2 linked regions of the Schizosaccharomyces pombe genome follow. The protein of the gene in region 1 purifies or fractionates together with the protein of each later gene. This does not show direct contact. Each region holds a gene or a part of one and is shown in the gene's direction. Other genes may lie near its edges.

Evidence for each region. The genes of interacting proteins can lie anywhere in the genome.
Region 2: the proteins of iss10 (region 1) and mpp6 purify together in Schizosaccharomyces pombe (affinity purification with mass spectrometry, with the first as the bait; one large-scale study listed by BioGRID). This does not show direct contact.

Annotation. Positions count from the first base shown.
Region 1 is NC_003424.3:2,607,357-2,615,721, forward strand, and holds iss10 (protein Iss10), read left to right. Parts: upstream 1-3,669; 5' UTR 3,670-3,743; coding exon 3,744-5,399; 3' UTR 5,400-5,646; downstream 5,647-8,365. Other genes in the region: serine/threonine protein phosphatase PP2A catalytic subunit Ppa1, read left to right, coding at 747-1,676; phosphatidylinositol-3,5-bisphosphate binding protein Atg1802, read right to left, coding at 2,113-2,125, 2,166-2,935, 2,992-3,098, 3,173-3,246, 3,305-3,348; SPOM_SPAC7D4.13C (uncharacterized protein), read left to right, coding at 5,940-5,954, 6,027-6,950; SPOM_SPAC7D4.12C (uncharacterized protein), read left to right, coding at 7,686-8,365.
Region 2 is NC_003424.3:2,888,076-2,893,401, forward strand, and holds mpp6 (nuclear exosome-associated RNA binding protein Mpp6), read left to right. Parts: upstream 1-2,000; 5' UTR 2,001-2,082; coding exon 2,083-2,109; intron 2,110-2,145; exon of another isoform or gene 2,146-2,164; coding exon 2,165-2,704; 3' UTR 2,705-2,812; downstream 2,813-5,326. Other genes in the region: iph1 (metallopeptidase), read left to right, coding at 1-1,873; gor1 (glyoxylate reductase), read right to left, coding at 3,141-3,183, 3,235-4,100, 4,357-4,452; SPOM_SPACUNK4.20 (uncharacterized protein), read left to right, coding at 4,476-4,700. UniProt on the Schizosaccharomyces pombe protein: RNA-binding protein that associates with the RNA exosome complex.

The DNA of each region.
Region 1 (8,365 bases):
TTAACATAATTTGTATTTATATACTCATCCATTTGCGAGTCTTGTATGAAAAATCCTATATCATATCAGTCCGTAAGTGGTCGCATTGCTACAATATCTCTTTATTTTTTTTAAGAAAGAAAATAAAGAGATATTAAATTTTGCGTCTTTTGGTCGTGAGATCGCCGAAATAAGGTAGCGAGTATAACATAATGTAGATCACGCATATTGTTATATTTTGGTTTGGTAAAGTTACTCAAAGTCAGGAAACTTGTAATGATGTTTTAAGGGGCTTGCAGAAAAAATTGCTATTACGAAATCCATGTCTGTAATATTTTGGTTATTAATAAATTGAAATAAAATTTAAAACATGAAATATTGTGACTTTATGTATCCTGTCTACTACCATACCTTTCAACCTTCATACAAATTTTCCCGTACTCGCATCATTTTCTTTCTTCACCTAACTCCCCACCGTGTCTGTAAAACATAATATTTCTCTTTCCCACATACGAACGAATAAATAATAAAATACAGTATATGTACAGTAAACGTACCTCAGACACCATTATTTTGTCAAGAAAGTGAATAAGCTTACAATACCCCCGTCATCCAGTGAATTCGTAAGTGGGAAGTTGAAAAACGCATGCTCAACGCAGGATAGCATACAAACGGAAAAGCCCTTATGGATTTTTCTGTGGATGCTTTTCTTTTTAATTAAAAATTTAGTCGTTTATTAACTATTGCTTTAAGTTTTTTTCAACAAGATGTCTGTCTCTGGAAAAATTGGAGAGGTCGATCGTTGGATTGAACAGTTGAGTCGATGCGAACCTCTTTCAGAGGAAGATGTCATTCAAATGTGTGATCTCGCAAAAGAGGTACTTTCTGTAGAATCAAACGTTCAAAGCGTCCGATGCCCTGTAACGGTTTGTGGTGATATTCATGGACAATTCCATGACTTAATGGAGTTGTTCAATATTGGCGGCCCTTCACCTGATACAAATTATTTGTTTATGGGAGATTATGTTGACAGAGGATATCACAGTGTAGAAACAGTTTCTCTACTGATTGCTTTTAAAATTCGATATCCCCAGCGTATAACAATATTACGTGGAAACCATGAATCTAGGCAAATTACACAAGTTTATGGATTTTATGATGAATGCCTTAGAAAGTATGGAAATGCGAATGTTTGGCAGTACTTTACAGATCTTTTTGACTATTTGCCTCTCACCGCCCTAATTGAAGATCGAATTTTTTGCCTTCACGGAGGTCTTTCTCCTAGTATTGATACACTTGACCATGTTCGTATATTAGATCGTGTGCAAGAGGTTCCTCATGAAGGTCCGATATGCGACTTGTTATGGTCAGATCCTGATGACCGACCTGGTTGGGGTATTTCTCCTCGAGGTGCTGGGTATACGTTTGGCCCGGATATTGCTGAAGCATTTAACCATAATAACGGTTTAGATTTAATAGCAAGAGCTCATCAGCTAGTTATGGAAGGTTATAATTGGACTACAAACCATAATGTTGTTACTATTTTTTCTGCTCCCAATTATTGTTATCGATGTGGAAACCAAGCAGCCATTATGGGAATTGATGACCACATAAATTACGCATTTATCCAATATGATACTGCTCCCCGAAAGGAGGAATTACATGTCACCAGAAGAACACCCGATTACTTCTTATAAGTCATCGTATGTTTTACTTTCTTCTTGGACTTGTTAATAGCTGGAATTTTTCATGGTTGGATTTTAGCGTTGTCAACGTGCCGCTAAAAATTTACTTTAATTTTATGGGTTTCTAATAGAATGTTGTTATCTTCGAATTTTTAATTCTCCTGTTTCGGTACAAATATTGAATTTATGGAATGCATATAAAATTTATATAGGATATATGATGCACTTGTAAGGTGTCTACCGTAATGATAATTTTTCACATCTGTACCGGTGTATAATATATTAGTGAAACACCAACTTATCGACATTAACATTTTAATAAATTATCTACAAAGGTCTAAACATAAATGATAGCATGTTCAGTAAATAAAAAAAAAACATAAGACCATGAAAGCTAAAACATTGTGAAGCTGATGTATGAGTAAATTTAAAACTTGTGCGCAAAAAGTTAATCGTCAAAGCTAGATATGTTAATAATCGAAAATTTAACAAACAGCTTACATGTAACGCTCAAGTAAAGCACAATTTCCTCCATTTTTAAGATTTACTGCGAACCGATAATAGTGTCCTGAATAAGAAGCTACTTGTATGTGCGGACCGCTGCTCGAAAAAATTATTTTTCCATAGAAAGAAGCTTCAGGAATCTTAGCAGTTGCAAATTCTTTCCTAGTGTCCCAAACTTTTGCTACATTTGAAGTTAAATATTTTGACCAAGAAGATGACACAGTTACGGAAGATGTAGGAGACGAATTCGGATCCGATGGTTGCTTAGAGATTTTGAAAACGTGAATAGTACCATTTTCAGAAGCACAAGCCAGAAAAGGCTCAACTGGGTGAAATGAGATAGATACAATGGATGCAGGTATATATCCCCTGCGCAATTCTGTCACCAATTCACCATCACTAGTTGTTATAACACGGATTACAGTTCCCTTTGCGGATGCAGTCGCAATCAAATGTCCACGCGGATGAAAGTCAACTACTTGGACAGCGGAAGAATGGCAATGAATCAATGTGACGGGTATTGCAGTATCCAATGAGGCTAAATAAATATCACCAGGGTTGGTCGGTGAATTATATGCAACATAATTCTCATGAACAGCAAAAGCTATAACATTTCCTTTCGAGGTATTTAGAGTATTAATTAATTCCATGTTTTTTAGATTATATACGTAAATACTCCCTTTAATTAAAACAACTAAACGATTCCATGTGAAACGTACACTTAGCACAGGACTCGGATAAAATATTCGGCATAAAACGATATCTCTCTAAAAATATGGGTTAAAATTAAGAAATCAATGCAGAATCTCAGTTAACTAATTACCTTGATGTCAACCAATTTTAGTAACCTCGTCGACTCAGGGGAAATATTCACGAAAGCAAGTAGAGAAGATTCATAAAGCATTTCACAAATACTTGCCCCATTGGCTTCTACAATCAGTAAGTTATAAGTCGTGTAAGATGGGCTTGTGTTTCCACTTCTCGGAAATTCATTGACAGCTTACTTTTTGAAAAGCACAGGGTAAACGGATTGGAGCGATAAACTTGATAGCCATTCTCAGAACCAATTGATAAAAAGCTAAATTTAGCAGTCAGTACAAAGATTGCACAAAATCTATTTTATGTGTGCCACTTACCCACGATCTTGATTCCACGAACAGTAAAGGATAATCGATGGCATTTCTCTTAAATCGACTGTTAATTTATTTAGTAGTTCACATTCACCCCTGTCTTAATACAATTGCTGATCACGTTCAATGGTAAAAGTAAAACAGATTTGTGCTAAGGCAGTGTGCGTAATTGAAGCAAAAAATAATGTGATTCGTACAATGCAAAAGCTTAACTTTGTAGTATCCAGAATATAAAAGAACCCATTTGAGCCTTTAGCAATTTTGATTAATGAATGTTTTTGTTATGTTTGTATTATGCAAGATAATATATACAGTGGTGCAGCGCTCCTTAATGGTCACCTCTACGCACATTCAAGAGCGTATATCTTGGCAACATCCAAATGTTGAATAAAACTTTTTTTGGGAATTCATGAATTTTTATTGTTTTGGTTAAATTTAAATATTAATGGATGCCGTTGAACCTTCTGTGGAGAAGGAATACAAAAAAATAATTTCTTTTAGAGATACTGTGTTTGAAGGGAAACATCAACAATTTTTGGTTCCGAACAATGTTCGTTTAAAATTTTTAAGAGATAGATTACATAAATCTTTAAAAAATTTTGATTCTGTTAAACGGAAAGTCGAAATTGCAAATGATGAAGGTAATAACAAACTCCTGAAATCATCACCCAAAGCACAAACCAGAGATGAAAATACTCCTTCTGAATTTAAGAATGGAGGTTTTAGTAACAGAGAATCTATGTCCGAAAACTGTTTTTCTAAATCATCTACTAATTTACCACGGCTAGACATTAACCGTGATTTTAATTCCTTACTTAATAGTCAAACAAAACCTGAAGCCACTGGTTTGATGAAAGAGGATATTACTCCCGTTGTAAACACTAGCAAACAATCTTCTACTGGGACTCAAGAGGAGTCCTCAAAACCGGAAAAATCTAATAAATTGTTAGCAAAGAGTACTTTATCTTTGTATGGGAATCAAGCTTTTAATCCTTCTTCAGTTCTTCCTAGCAATTCTTCATCAACGCCTAAGGAAAATAAAAAAAATGTGAATAAAGAGACATATCAACCGAACACTTTTCGCCGTAGTCCGTTGAAAAATGATACTGGATCAGTGGAGTTATCAAACCTGTATATGCCGTCTCCACCATCATCTGCGCTTCCCGTATCGCTTGTGTCAGCTCCTTCTCCTCCGAGGGCAACTAACGTTGCAGTCCCGTGTCTTAAACATTTGGAATCGAGTGAGCAGGGCAATAACCTACTTATTAACAAAGCTTTTACTTCTCCTCGCCTTCCTTCACCTCCCCAGTCAACAAGACCTAGCTCTACTAGGTTTCCTTCGGTTCCTTTATCAGATGAAAAAAACTCAATTGTCTCCGTAAAAAACGAAGAGCCGTCTGTCATTCTGGGAAATCAATCACCAATTTCGGATTTGCATCCGTATTCTCCATCTTGGATCCCCTATCCAAAGGAATTGCAATCGCTACAAGTCAATCGAATACCTGAGTTGTCCTTGGAGAACAATGTCATGTCAACTCGGGATTATAAGGATATAATGCCTCACCCTCGTCCTTCTGCTGTCCTTTTAGATAAACCGGTTTCTTTAGATCAAACTTCTCATCCTTTCCCTCATCAAAATACTTATATTCTACCTCCGGGGATAAGGAATTCTGTAGACTATGACGGCACTTTTCTTTCCCGTAAATCGCTTCCTCCTTATAATGGCATTCATCGTCTTCATGAGAGCCCTTCTCAGTTTTCAAATCAATCAAGATATAATTGGGAGCCAATTTTAGAAAATCGCTCCCTGCTCCATTTGAATCGTCCGCCTCCTATTGAAACGCACTATTCATACGAATCTAACAATTCATCGTTTTCTCCGTATTACCATAAACGGCATAGACAGATTTCTCCATACTACCCCACTTCCTCAGTTTATGGAGTTTATGAAAGTCCGCCTCACATGTCTGATTCTCGTATTTCTCGGCAGCATATGCCTTTAACGCATACTACTTATGAGCCTTCTGCGCCTTATTATAACGACTATGAATTAGCAGAGGAAATTGAGAGGCGTCGTCATCATAGCTTTTATGATTATTAGCTATACTCTTCCGTAAGTGCGCGCAACAATTTAAAAATTGCTTGGCGGAATATTTGAATTTGCATGTTTTTGTTTTAACTTATAAAGAAAATTAAGTACCTTTAGTACTGGTAATGTTTGATGTACATTTATTATAGTAGATAGAATATTCATGTTGCATAAATTGGTTTCGCACTTTCAGTTAACATTTTCAAATTCATTTATACATAAATACTTTTTTAGATGATTAATAAGAGGCGTTTCATAAATAGTATAAGTACTTTGTAAGCCTATTCTAATGGATGTGAATAAACAAAGAGACTATGGATTATGTGAATAGTTATATTACTTTCTTATTCGATAATCAAATTTTAAAGCTCCCAAATGCAAGATTATTGAAGAAATTTTGAAAAAGTTTCTTTAGTTAACATTAGCATGTAAAAGACACATAAACCCTAATTGACTGTAACATAAGAGACCTTTTACTTACGTCTACAGCGATTATTCTACTGGACTTAATAAAAGCAAAATTCGGACGGTCGAAACAACTCATTTAGACGTATGAGTCTATTTATTGTAGGTTAGCTTTTTGAATGAATATTACATATCATTATTTTTCTCTTTCTTTCTCTAACTACTAAAACCTAGGGTACTCATAACATCAAAAACTCAGCAATACAACTTTTAAAGACGAAACTGAAAAATGAATTTTTAAAGGGCGTTAAATGTATTACTAAATATCCCGAAAATGCACATAGCATTTTTAAAGTTCAAGAATATACTGGATACAAGGGAGTGACCTTTATAGTATCTACCAAATGGAATCTAACTGTCGACTCAATTCATAAACTAATTCCTGAAATTAAAAGCTCTCCGAGTGCATGTTTACTTTTAGTAAACCAACCATACCCAGTTATCGAAAAAATAACTGATATTCTTACAAAACATGGGATCACGAATGCAAATCTTTTGGAATTTTCAAAATCGTCTTTGTTGCATCCTTTTAAAAGGAATAGACACCTTCTTTCATTCGTGCCTTATCCTATGACTGCTGAGACATTAGGAGACATCTCGTGGTCATTTTCTCGAAGAGAAAATATGAAATTTGAAAAGGACCAGCAGTATATCTTATCAAAATTTAAAAGTCCACGAAATTTATTGATTCCTTACCCCTCTTTCCTAATTCAAAAGTTCTTGGATATGGCAATCCTTCCTCCTATGGCAGCTTTAAGGATTTTGTTTTATCAGTATTCTAAAGCTAGCACGATGAGCCTTACAGATGACTTTTACAATAAGTATGTGCTGGAGAATTTGAATATAATAAACAATTTACAGATTTTTCTTCATCTTGACTTAGAACCTTTACATATCAAAAGTCTTGCTAAAGCAAGAAAAAGATTTTATGAAACTGACTTGAAAACAACATTTTTAAATGCATTTTCCAGAGACGAGTTGTTGATGTTGGTTAATTATTTTATTTTTCGGGGCACCGAGTTAAAACTTTCTGTTTCCATGAATCTCGCTTTTCGTGACATTCTATTATCATCGGCTTATTTGAATAAAACCAAATAATACTAACGAAAATTACTGGCTTAATGCTGCTTATAATCTTTTTATATAGTATTTTATTTCACGGTCTGAGATTCGTGGCATGAATGCTATAATGCTAGTAACTACCGATGATTATTCATTAAATAAATGACTGTATCCTGTAGAAACAGGATATTATGTTGACAGAGTTTAATGGTCATTTGTAAAAACTAATTAAAGTAATAAGTAAATACATTTTTAATATAGATAAGTGGCAGAATAAAGTGAGGGAAGCTTTGTCGTTTAAGTTGTATATTTTTTTTTAAAGCTGGGCAGTAAATATATTTCATATTTAATGAATTTGCGTCGCCGCCGACAGCATCAGAAACCATCAATTTTTTATTATACGGCCGGAGAATTTTAAAAGAATAAATATAAAATACTGATTACTCCCTAAAGCTGGCTCTAGACACGAACGACATTAAGGCGAACCACGTGGAATTTTTGGTATAGAGGCGTAAAGTGTTCACTAACCACCTAGCATAAACCCACTTAGGAGTGTCAATTGAAAACTGTAGTGCTTCAACTAGTGAATTGCAATTGTTTTAAATTATTTTAAAACAATTGATCATATTTGTGATGATTCATTGAATGAAGTAAATTAGATTTTTTATGGGCGTGTGTTGATTGTTGCGATTAACATCAGCGACACGAATATCTTCAAATTTTATTATCATTTTAGAAAAGAAAAGTTATTTTTTAGAAAAATAAAAAACAATGGACGGAAATCGTAGAGTGCGTTTCAATACCGATAGACGACCTTACCTCTCTCCCTTACAAACATCTTTTCCGAGTTCCACTTCGTTTCAGACCCCTACATTTTTAATAGAAGAAGATGATGAAGATACAGAGGATGATGATGGACCACAGGTTCTTCCTGTTCATAGGGCGCCTTCTCCTGCTGCTTTTCGCAAAAGAGGCTCTATAACTTCCATGGATCAATATTTAGTAAACATGCCGGCTGTTCCAAGTCCTACCGCATCAAAAGTAGGCCTATTGGATGCTAGGAATACAGACGTTGAAAGCTATGCAGCTAGCTATAAAACCCAAAGTAGTTCAAATTCCGTCAATAGCTTACCAATGCGTAGGCCTACTCTGGATAGAAGCTACTCAGCACCTATGATCGCTGCTAAAAATTTACAGAGCGATCCGGAAAAAATGTCTAATGTCGAATCAACTAATGAACTACCCTCTACTACAACAGAAGCGTACAAGCTTGTTGCTGCTCACACGGCAGCTCGATTAGAGCATATGAGGCTAAACGCTTTGAAGGCCGCTAATGATGAAGGAGAAGATGTTAAAGATAACGAACAAGATGACAATATAGATGAATCTGATCCATTTGCTAATCCTAAGGCTTCTTATCGTGGCGGCGTATTGTCAAATTTGCTGAAGTT
Region 2 (5,326 bases), 280 kb from region 1:
TTACCAGAGGGTTATTAAAATTTTATTTGAATATATAAGATTGCTCGACCAGACAAATGCTCACAAGTTTTTATTTGAAGAAACCCGTATCATGTCAGAGGCTCAATTTAAAACGAGACAAAAAACCCCTGCTTACCAGTATGCGCATGTTGTTGCTAGCAAGCTTCAACGAGAATATCCTCGTGATAAAGTCCTTTATTATTCCTCAGTACTCACTGAATTTGACCCTAAAGGTATTCAGGAGGTTGTTGAGAGTCTTCGTCCTAATAACTTTTTTGCCATTTTAGCTGCTCATTCAATTGAGAAAGGACTTGATAATAAAGAGAAGTTCTATGGCATAGATTACGGATTGGAGGATTTGGATTCTCAGTTTATAGACTCTTTGCTACATATTAAGACATCCAGTGAACTTTACTTGCCTTTGGCAAATGAATTCATTCCTTGGTCTTTAGAAGTTGAAAAGCAGCCAGTAACGACGAAACTGAAAGTGCCGAATTTGGTGCGAAATGACAAATTTGTAAGATTATGGCATAAAAAGGATGACACTTTTTGGGTACCTAAAGCTAACGTTTTCATAAATTTCATATCTCCAATCGCCAGGAGGTCTCCCAAAGTTTCTGTGTCGACGACACTTTACACGCGATTAATAGAAGATGCTCTAGGAGAATATTCTTATCCTGCTAGCTTAGCTGGTCTTTCCTTTTCACTTTCACCATCTACTCGTGGCATAATACTTTGTATTTCAGGGTTTACTGATAAATTACATGTACTTTTGGAAAAAGTAGTCGCAATGATGCGTGATCTCAAAGTTCATCCGCAAAGATTTGAAATATTAAAGAATCGCTTGGAACAAGAACTTAAAGATTATGATGCTTTGGAAGCATATCATCGTTCAAACCATGTACTCACATGGTTGAGCGAACCGCATTCGTGGTCAAATGCTGAGTTACGTGAAGCTATTAAAGATGTCCAGGTGGGCGATATGTCTGATTTTATTAGTGATTTATTAAAACAAAACTTTTTAGAATCTTTGGTACATGGAAACTATACCGAGGAAGATGCCAAAAATCTTATTGAATCCGCTCAAAAACTGATTGACCCAAAACCAGTCTTTGCATCCCAGTTGAGCCGTAAAAGGGCTATAATAGTTCCTGAAGGTGGTAATTATATTTACAAAACTGTGGTGCCAAACAAGGAAGAGAAAAATTCTGCTATTATGTATAATCTTCAAATCAGCCAGCTTGACGATGAAAGATCTGGAGCCCTAACTCGACTAGCACGGCAAATAATGAAGGAACCCACTTTCTCCATCTTGCGTACTAAAGAACAACTTGGTTATATTGTTTTTACTTTAGTTCGTCAAGTCACGCCTTTTATAAATTTGAATATTTTTGTGCAAAGTGAGAGAAGTAGTACATACTTAGAGTCCAGAATTCGTGCCTTGTTGGATCAATTCAAAAGCGAATTTTTAGAAATGTCCGACGAGGATTTCAGTAAGCACAAATCAAGCTTGATTAACTTTATGCTCGAAAAGCATACAAACTTAAAAGAGGAATCTTCTATGTATTGGTTACGTATTTGTGATGGATTTTATGACTTTACCAGATTGGAAAAGCAAGCAGAAATTGTGTCTACCATTACCAAGGATGAGTTTTACAGTTTCTTCATAAACAACATTCATTATGAAGGAGAAAATACTAAAAAAATATCTGTGCATGTTGTTTCTCAACGCTGTGAAGATGAAGTTTACGAAATTCCCAATGTTACTATCATTGAAAATGGCAACATGTTCAAGGAAAGCATGACATTGAGTAAAGCGGCTTTCCCACTTAAACCCTTTGATGAAATCGATAGGTCTTTATTATTTAATTAGTTTTTTTTCCCTAATCCGATTCTCAAATTTACTGATTTTATATTCTCATCTTAATTTCAGTTTTGCATTCTGGCACTGCGGTTTTTCTCGCTATCCAAACAAGTGTGACGAGACCTACTCTTCTGCTAGCTGCAAAGTCTCTTTTTCATAGATTTTGTAAGCAATAGTAAAACAATTGTTTTTTTTTATGATAAGATATTTATTTTAAAATGTCGTCTAAACTTCTTTCTATGAAAGTACGAAATTTAGTCAAATTTTTAAGAAAAATTTCTACTAACCTGTATTTTGTAGTTTATGCAACGCGCTCGAGGCATTGACCCGAAGCAAGCAGAAGAAGAGTTAAGCAAGAACATTGTTACAGATGAGCATTGGAGTCTTGCAGGAAAAGTTGATTTTTTACCCCAAAAGATGACTCGTAATGTAGAATATGAATCGGGTTATGGGGGTCTGATTGAAGAAAACGATCTTGAAAGTCATTCAAATGAACCTAATTTAGTACAAGGAAGAGCTAGCTTTGGATTATTTAATAAGGAACTAGGAGAGGAAAATGTGGATGAAAAAGATGTTTCTAAGAATGAAGAGGTTGATGTAAACGGTACTAAAATAACGGACACATCGGAGCTTACAGAAAGAGAACGTCGTAAACAAGAATTAGTGTCTAAAAAGGCGGAGGCATCCCGTAAAATGGAGGTGAAGGCCCCGGCAAAGGAATCCAAAAAGAGGAAAGTTAATGAGTTGTCTCAAGATGTCATTTCTCTACATTCCCCCAAAGAGTCCAATGCCCGAAAAACAAAGAAAAATAAAAACAAAAAGAAGAAAAAACGCAACTAAGAGTTGCTCATTTTTTTTTTCAATTTGACTGGACGTTCATTGTATGAATAAGGGATGTGAAGCATTTTTGGGTACTGTAAATATTAATTAAAATTTTCTGAATTATTATCATGGTCCTTTCTAACTGTGTATTATTAAACCTGGAGAAAAAAAGAGAACCGCTACATATCAACGATGCTTTTTTGCTATTAAGATGTAAATGTAAGAGTTTGAAACTACAGCAGTAGTTCATCGTTGTCGTTTTACGAAATCTGCTAGGGAGAAAGAATGAGAAAGAACAGTAGAAATATGTATTTACTATATAATGAAAATAGTCATGAATAGACCATAATTTGAGACGAATGAATCAATATTTGAACGACCGTATAACATAAGCATATAAAAACATTTAAGTCGATTTACGTAAAGCCGAGGTAAGTAGACAGAAAAACATAATCTACTCTATATCACCACGTTGTTCAGGAACCAAATTGGGAAGTCTAGAAAAAAAGTTAGAAATTGAAAGAAAGGGGAAAAACATAAGGACTTACGAATCATTGACAATTCCATTTTTGACGTTCATGAGAACAGCGCATTCCATTTTGTATTGGGTCTCAAGACTGTTTGTACCTAAATGAGGAAGAAGAATCACCTTTTCGTTCTCCAAAAGACCAGGATGAATTTTGGGCTCTTCTTCAAATACGTCAAGACCGGCAGAGTAAACGATGCCTTCGTCGAGAGCTTCGACGAGAGCAGCTTCATCCATAACGGCACCACGTGCAGTGTTGACGATGACAATTCCACGCTTCATCTTTTGAAATTCTGGTTTTCCAATGATATGCCGGGTGTGAGCATTCAAGGGCAAATTGAGGGAAAGCACATCTGACTTGGCTAAAAGATCGTCAAATGAGACAAACTCGGCACCTTCAGCTTCTTCCTCGGGAAGGGGAGTACGATTGTGATATACGATTTTCATGTCAAAGGCGCGAGCACGCTTGGCCATGGTCTTACCAATACCGCCCAAACCCAAAATACCAAGCGTTTTACCCTCGGGATCATGAGAGGGTTTGCAATTTGCATTCCAGTTGTTCTTGTGTAACTCAAAGATACCTTGGTTAAATCCACGAAGGGCACCTAACATTAAGAAGATACCAACGTCGGCGGTTGCATCGTCGACAGCCTTGGGAACGTGGGAGACTTGAATACCACGAGCGGTACAAGCAGCCACATCAACAGTTTCATAACCAGCACCCAAATGGCAGATAAACTTGACGGATGGGGGCAAATTATCAATGATTTCCTTGTCAAAAATGCCCATGTAAAACTTGGAGTTGTAAGTACGACAGATGGCCTTTACATTTTGAAACTCGGTTTTGCATTTGGCCAAGAAGTCTTCGCGAGTGCCATCGCTGTAGGTCTAAAACGACATTAGTAAACAAGAACAGGTAAACACAACTAAGCGCATATGTTGAGGTTTTGTCGGGAAGCTAGGAGATCCGCTAGATAGCCAAGAAATCCAACAGAATCGCAGAAGCAGAGGACGAGGGAGAAGAAGCAACAGAACAACAAACAAGCAATCACTCTTGAATTTTTTAGTTCCATATCCTCTGCTCATCCTTCAACCTCCATCTCCCACTACTGTCCCTTCTTCCCTCCCTTCTCTATTTCTTTACCTTCAACTCTGCATATTTTCCAAGAGCTTCCCACTCCTTATGAGCGTGCTTCAAAGTGCCAACGAGTAAAGCTGCAGGTTTTCCACTAAGAGTCATGATGAATACAAGTCGTTGAGAGGATGAGACGATCGATTGATTATTTTACAGAACCTTCGTGCTTGAGTTCTGGTATAGTTGATATCTTGAATAAAGGCTTTCTGTCAAACAAAAGCAAATCGCACACACAAACACACAAAAAAACCGCTGTACAACTATTTAGAAATCTCGAGTTGAGTACAACAAAGAATGTGATGGAGATGTGGGGAAAGCAGGATATTCTTCGCTTTTTATGCTTTTCTGAATGAACAAAAAGGCAACGATTGTAACAGCGATAGTTGAACTTAGGTTTAGTAAGATTGGTTAAACAGCGGAGAACTGAGGTGTTTAATGTCTAGATCCCGCACTCTGCGTTCTTTTCTTACGTACACACGCACTCTAAATAAGACTATACCAACCTGAACCAACTTGGTCAAATCTTAAGGATTAGTGTGCCTGCTGTTCCACTGCACTTAAATAGTCTTACCGGCTTATCTATGATGTTCGTTATCTATGGATCACGTGGGAGACGAAGGAGGAGCACGGTACATGATGCTGATATATGGAGATTAGGAGGATGGGCGTGGTACATGGAATTGTAAGCGAGCGTGCAAAGTAGAAAGAAAAGTCCACTAACAAGAGGAGAGGAAGTAGAAAGGGAGAATGTGTGAGTGGGGGGATGCGAGTGATCGCTGAGTGCAAGCATCTGTAGAGTTAGTGGTAAGAAAACATGGTTAGGAAGGATGGAATTGAAACTGGTTTAAAAACTCGAATTGTAGTGGTACAAAATGAAACACATAAAAGTAGCGATGCAAAAACATTGGATCAAAATATCCGCATATTCCGAGGACAAATACGTTGCGAACACAACTACTTTTTACTCATCTTCCATTTG